2 linked regions of the Arabidopsis thaliana genome follow. The protein of the gene in region 2 interacts with the protein of the main gene of each other region in a pairwise test. Each region holds a gene or a part of one and is shown on either strand. Other genes may lie near its edges. The genes, in order: NPC4 and AT2G33830.

What was found.
Region 1: the proteins of AT2G33830 (region 2) and NPC4 interact in a two-hybrid assay, tested with the Arabidopsis thaliana proteins (one large-scale study listed by BioGRID).

The regions. Positions count from the first base shown.
Region 1 is NC_003074.8:843,249-847,187, forward strand, and holds the start of NPC4 (non-specific phospholipase C4), read right to left. Parts: upstream 1,849-3,939; 5' UTR 1,723-1,848; coding exon 1,277-1,722; intron 1,189-1,276; coding exon 991-1,188; intron 608-990; coding exon 198-607; intron 86-197; coding exon 1-85. Other genes in the region: NPC5 (non-specific phospholipase C5), read right to left, coding at 3,102-3,445, 3,531-3,701, 3,778-3,939. UniProt on the Arabidopsis thaliana protein: Non-specific phospholipase C (PLC) which assumes major PLC activity during inorganic phosphate starvation. Substrate preference is phosphatidylcholine (PC), but can also hydrolyze phosphatidylethanolamine (PE) with lower efficiency.
Region 2 is NC_003071.7:14,308,725-14,312,211, forward strand, and holds AT2G33830 (Dormancy/auxin associated family protein), read right to left. Parts: upstream 1,885-3,487; 5' UTR 1,563-1,884; coding exon 1,472-1,562; intron 1,366-1,471; coding exon 1,167-1,365; intron 1,081-1,166; coding exon 1,044-1,080; 3' UTR 760-1,043; downstream 1-759. Other genes in the region: FES1 (Zinc finger C-x8-C-x5-C-x3-H type family protein), read right to left, coding at 3,421-3,450.

The sequences.
Region 1 (3,939 bases), on a different chromosome or scaffold from region 2:
AGTTTGAAAATTGTCTTGACCGTTGCGGGAATTGACGAATGCTCATATTGTGACCTTGGGTACGGCCCATTTGGCCCATGAATAACTACACATTTTACCAAAATTGTCATTTACTTTGATTTAAACATTAATATCTTGATTAGAAAATATAAGACCACTAAATTTGATTAATGCCTATGACTAGTAATTATGTTCACCTGTGCCAGGCTCAATCCAAGGAGAGATGAAGAAAGTCGGAACCCTAACACCGAGCCGGTTAAACTCAAAATTATATGGTGGAGGTCCCAAGATACCATCCGGATTAGGAACTCCGTCGACTGGAGTAGGTACATGGTCGTAAAATCCACCATGCTCGTCGTACGTTATGATAAATAAAATCTCATTCCATTGAGGACTCGATCTCAATGCCTCGTAGACCTCTTTCACGAGCTTTTGACCCTCGGAGACATCGTGAGAAGGGTGATCGTCATTGGCTGGAGTTGACAATAGATCAAACCAACGTTGTTCGACCACGACGTAGTTGGGTAGCTTTCCTTCTTTGCAATCTTTCTTGAATTGTATTCCGTATTGGTGGAAATGTGTCAAATATTTCAGCTTTCTCAAATTCCTAAAAAGTAAACTATTAATACAATTATATATATATATATATATATATATTTTGTATGATTATCCTTTTTACTATAAGATTTACTTTGTTTATATATACGACTATCTTAATGTTTTAATTAGAAGGTTTTACAATCTGCACAACGAAGGAAACTTGTTCATAAACTGAAACGAGTCTTGCAGTTTGATATATTTATTAGATATCCAAAACAAAAGAATAACCTTGATTTAACACCCATTATAAAATGATAGACGGAAATAGCCAAAAAGAGACAAAATTTATACAATTCTTATAAAGCTAAAGATAACTAGATTAATTAATATCTGAATAAACGATTTCAATAGGAAAAGCAAATAAAACGTATATATTGTTGATAAAAATACCTATAAAAGAGAGTGGAAGGAGGGAATTGGTAGTAAATGCCAAAGCTAAAACCAGCTTCATCGAGAGACTCGAATATCGTCTTCTGTGGAAACCCTTCGAGTAGCAATTTCTTGTCGTTGCTCGTTGCTCCATGTGATGTTGCCGAGTGTACGTACAATCGGTTTGGCTGCGTCGACGCTGGAACCGACGCAAACCACCTGCCAAGTATACAATGTGAACCAAATTTGATTTAAACCGGGAAAACTATACTCAAAATTAAGATCAGGATGAACCGAACCGGCTTACCTATCACATATGGCGAAATTTTGAACCAACTCCTTGTAAACCGGCAAAGCATTCGGTTTAAATCCGTTCATAACCGCGGAGGACATCCCTTTCTTGTTTCTCTCGGCGTTTTGAGCAAAACCGGACATGTTAGGATGACCCGGGTTTGGATCCGGTTTACCTGAATCCCATGGCTTACCAAACACTTGTTCGTAGATATCCTGAATGGAGTGACCTGGATCCGGGTTAACGTACTGAGACTGATCCCCGAAGACTACACGAAGAGAGTTTGTGTCGGATGACGAAACCGTGTTGGATTTGGGATCAGATTTCGTGACGCCGTCGATTTCCCGGTTTAGTTCTTTAAACCAGCCTAGGGTGTGGTCAAAAGAACGATTTTCTTGAACCAAAACGACGATGGTTTTGATCGGATACGATCCTGAACCGCCTTTGGTCGTCTCGATCATTCCGTTTCTTTTCTTTTTCGAATGTTAAACGTTTTGGGTAGAAACAATTCGTGGGGGTTATACTTATATAAATATATACGTAGTGATCATTGGAGATTTGAAGAAGACGTAAACAGCAAATCATAAGTATGCACGTCGTCATGGGTTATTTATCCACTGAATTGGTATAACGTCAAATAAAGTTGGAGGGAAATAAAATCTTTACTAAATTTGTTAGGATAGTAATTGACGCAACTACCAGCACCCATAAGCTGGAAATTTATAATTTGTGGCAAGGTTGATATTCTTACGACAACATTTATTTTTAATTACTTGTGTTGAAATTGGTCTGTGTCAAGAATATTCACTTTTTCAAGACCATCTATGTAGTTCTTTCTAATTAGCTTGTATGTTGATTTTATATTAAAAGTACATTATATATATATATATAGAGAGAATTTTGTGTACTGTTAGCTATATCAAACTCACGACGCACTAGTTGTACAAACGTTATTTTTTCTTTGAATATAATTTAACATTGTTTTCAAAAAAAAAAAAAAAAATTGACGTTGAGACTTTACTTGTAACCTTCAGACAGACAAGAAACATGAGAAGAAAATTGTCAAGAAAAACAAGAACACACGTTACGGCAAAGAATATAAACGAGAATATGCGTATGATTCTATATCAACCAAAGAATATGCGAATACACATGGGAAATTAAATAAAGACAACAATTATCGTTTTGATTTAATTTTTTCTATTAACAGTACATATTCCTTCCAAGTGATACTGATACCTTTTCATAAAATAAAATAATACTCGTGGTCGTGTGAAAAAAAGAAACAAGAATTCGTATGATCTTCGATTCAAGGTGGGATATTAATTAATTTTTAGTGTACAATTTGTATTATGCTTGTAATTGTGACAGTCCACCAACCTATTTTTATTGTACCACGATAAATCTTTTTAGATTTCCTAAAACGTACTTGGTCTAAAATAGCGGTGTCCATTTATTACCGATCATTTTGTAGTGACGAAAGAGTAACTTGTACTCGAACAATTTTGTGACGTGCCATACAAGAATAGGAATACAAAGTCGCGCCTAAGTTTTTTTTTTGTTTTTCGAGTCTAGATCGTTTATGTTGGCATGTCCAGTCACAATTTTTATACGACTTATGTCAGCAGTTTTGTTTCTTTTGTTCTTTTTACGCCAGCATTTAGGTTCAATTACTAGAAAACAAATTGAATTCAATAGGGGCCATTTGATAGATCCACACTACTATTGACTCTTCACACAAAAACTACATAAAAAAAAACTAAATGAAAATTTCTTATACAGTCCAGTAATCATGACAAACGAAGCAAATGTTTAACTTATTGAAAAAGACGATCAGATTTTAATTTGACCAAGGAGTAGCATGTGATGGCTCTGATTGTGATGGTGGTGGTTTCACAACATTATGATCATCATCATCATCAACGCAAAAAACGATGTCGTTCTCATCACCTCCCCTTTCTCTTGCCTTTTTAGACTCTTCTACAAACTTATCAAACGCTTTCGTAACGTATTTAGAAGCATCTGAAACGCAAGTTTTTTTGCATAGTTTGTATAGCAATTCTTCGTTTTTGTAGTCTCCTTTTAAACCCGCAGCAACTATTACAAGCTCTTCTTGAAAGTCGCTCAATTCTGCATTTTCTTTTGCCACCGTCCCTCTCATTTTGACCGGATTTGACAATGTTTCTTTTTTTTTTTAAAAAACGAAGTATTTATTCAAAATAATCACAAATTTTGATAGAATTTATTAGAAATGAAAAAATGTAATTACCAGGGCAATCTTGTCTTGGTGAGTTTCTCGTAATAACAGATTCAAAAGTGCCAGCCCACGAATCTCTCTTTGTCAAAAAATCTTTGAGTTTGAAAATTTTCTTGACCGTTGCGGGAATTGACGAATGCTCATATTGTGACATTAGGTACGGCCCATTTGACCCATGAAGAACTACACATTTTACCAAAAATTGTCATTTAATTAACACATTATAGTATAATTAAATTATTGTCTACCACATACTTACCTGTGCCAGGCTCAATCCAAGGGGAGATGAAGAAAGTCGGAACCCTAACGCCGAGCCGGTTAAATTCAAAATTGTACGGTGGAGGTCCCAAGATACCATCCGGATTAGGAACTCCGTCGAGGGGAGTAGGGACATGGTCGTAGAATCCACCGTGTTCGTCAT
Region 2 (3,487 bases):
CGGCTCCATTTGTATGTAGCTCTTGGTTGCAAGGTGTGTAACGTGTGTTTAATGGTGAAAGATCTCTTTCTTCTCTATGAACTTGTGTGTTTTTGTGTAGGTGGAGACACTTCTTTTGTATATTCCCCTTGTATTGAAAATGTGCTTTGAATAGGTTGATCCCGCAGGACTCAGGTTTGGGTTGGTTCTTTTTGTGTAACCTTGTATTCTATCTTCTTCTTTAATCAAATCAGATGACAAAAAATTAAATATATATTACATTTGTATCCAGACATGTATAAACTTTAATTAAATCACTATCATAATGGTTTGTTGACACAAAGAATTCACCTAACCATGGTTATGTTTTTGTTATTTAATGAGATGAGATCAACCATGGTGATTAAAATAGGTTGATCCCTGAGCTTTGGATTGGTTCTTTTTGTGTAACTTTGTATAATTATATCAAATCAGACAAAAAAATATATATAAAAAATTACAACTGTATCCAAAGACATGTATAAACTTTAATTAAATCACTATCATAATGGTTTGTTGACACAAAGAATGCATTTAACCATTGTTATGTTTTTGTTATTTAATGAGATGAGATCAACCATAGTTCAGTTAAAATTTAATCAAATCACTATCATAATTGTTTGTTGACACAACGAATTCATCTAACCATGCATGATTGAGATATTTTAATGATGAACAAATAAAATAAAATAAAAATAATGATATGAGATCAACCATGGTTAAGTTAAATTCCATTTTGCTAATTATAGTTAAGTTAAGTTATATTGTTAGCTAAATCATTAGAGAAGCTAATTGTAATATTACCGAACAGTAAAAATATTACAAGACACTGAAGACGCATCGCCACCGTTAAAAGCTAAAAACTAACCCAGATGGTGGAAATCAACGGTCACTAACAAACACAAACGACATGAAGCAAATAAAAGATTGCACATATAGCCAAAATAGACGAAACAGAACATAAACACGTGGCGTAAAGAACATAATTATTTTACATCATTCTCATGTCACTCTACCCTCTCGGCTCAACGGTGCTTGCTCCTAGTGTCGTCGCTGTATAGCCTGCGGGATCACAACAACGGTCAAACCATCTTAGATCTGATCTACACCGTCCGGTCAGATAATAATAACAGAAACTGAGTACGTACCAATCGTAGACGGTGGGAGAGTTTGGGTGAGAAGGCTTGTCGAAGAGGTTTGTGCCCATTCCTCTAGTGGCGATGTTACTTCCTGGATGAAACACACTTCTCCACACGTTTTCCTTACGCGCCGATCCTGGCGTCGTCGGAGTTCCAGGACTCCCGGCCACCGCCGCCACAGTTTTACTACTGCTCCCTTCTCCTACACCTTCCAAAAACCATCACATGATATAATTATGAGATCATACGTTTCTACAAAGATCTGTATATGCAAGTTTATTACGGAGTTATGGTTGACAAAGAAAAATAAATACCTTTGATGTCAAGGGGTTGGGTGGTGATCTTATTGCGGAGGCGGCCAAGGCCATGCTCCGGTTTAGGTCCGGCTACAGTTTCATCCCACATATTTCTTTCTTTTTTTGGGTTGATTTTGGATAGAATTGTGTCAAGTGTGAAGTACTTACTAAAGGGCTTCCTTCATCTAATTTATAGACTCATTTTTAAACTATTCGTAAAAATATCTCTTTTCCTTTGTCGACTAGTTCTCTCATTTTTTATTTGACCCACAAAATATCTAGAGAAATACTATAATAGACTAGAAATAATTGACAAGTAATTGATAACTTAATTACCAAATGAAGTTTATATACTTGCACATAGAATTTTCGTTAAAATTTGATACGTTTAGCCAAAATGTTATTATTCTCTGTCAATAAACAACATGAATACATAATATAATTGTAAATTGTGTGTTATGTATTAATATGTCATTTTACAACATTTTAATATAACATGCAACTTCCAGGGTTTAGAGCTAAAATACACGCCATCTTTGGAAATTAGGATGTGGATAAGCCTACTTTAAAGGACCTTAATATATAACATTAATGTTATAATATAGATCAAACCATTGATCATGAGAAGCGTGAGCAGTGAGGGAGAAGTGTGGAAATAAAAAAAATGCAAGGTGGGTATAGAGCTGGAGATATGGATAAGGACGACGAGTCATAAAGTGTAGGGACCCTTAAATCAAAAGAATCCCAAGTCTTTCGTGGAAAAGTATTATAGGAACAACAAACATATTTTGATTATTTTGTGAAGTTAATATTATTAAGCAACAGTAACTCTAATCAAATAGTTTTCCACAAACCCACCATAGATAATAAGTTCATGATGTCCTAATGATCATAGTCCAAATGATTCACTAAAATGTTTGAAAAAGATAAAACTAATTCCAAAACTGTACACAAAACGTATGCACTTTATCCTAAACCAAAAACCACTTTCTACTTACAGTAAAACTTCTATAAATTAATAATGTTAGGACCGAAAAATTATATTAATTTATAGAGGTTTTAATTTATCGATTAATTAATTAATTTATAGAGATATTTTTCTAATTTATTAACTTTTAAAAAAAATTTAAGATTTTTTCATTATAGAAAATATTTTTTAAGAATCAATTACAAGTAAAAAGTAATATCATATTTAGAAAACAACACCAAAATTTTTTGATACAATAAAATATTAGAACTCAATATCAAATAAGAATAAATACAAATTTAAGCAAAAAAAAATATTAGAAATATATTTTAAAGAAATTTCTTACATATAATGTATATATAGTTGATACATTTCTGCAATTATTAATTTGTGATATTAATGAGACCATATATTTACATAGGATTTTCAAAAAAATTATTATCTTATTAATTTATCGATTTATGTCATTTTTTCCATTAGTCTCACCTCGGGATTGGAAGAAATTATTAATTTATAGAGGTTATTAATTTACCGAGTATTAATTTACAGAGGTTTTACTTATATTGATGGAGAAATACAAAACTAAAACTAACTTCTAATTTGAAAAATCTTGGTTTCACAAAGCTAAATTACTTATCAAATAGTTAGGAAACGTACCTCAACATTATTCCATTTCTTTCTCTTTTCCTCTGCTTCCAAGGCAACCATTCTTTATCACATTACTTCTAAAGATCACATTCTAAATCATATTCCCAAAGGTAAAAGAAAACTGTTTTAAGCATAAATTAAGCTTTGAAGAGTTTTACAATGTGTACACATTTCCTCCACCAAGCTCCCATTCCAACCTTATTCCATTATCGGTAAAGGATAGGAATGGAGTTCCAAAGAATTTAGGTGCTACGTACTAAATCTATAACTGAGTAAAAGAAGGATGACATAATGTACAGGAATCTCATCAGTTTGAGCTCATGCCACACCAAGTGACATTTGGTTTGATAACTCAGGGTTTACCATACTTTTCGACATACCCCTGCAAATGAACATAAGAATTGTTAGCTTATGCAATA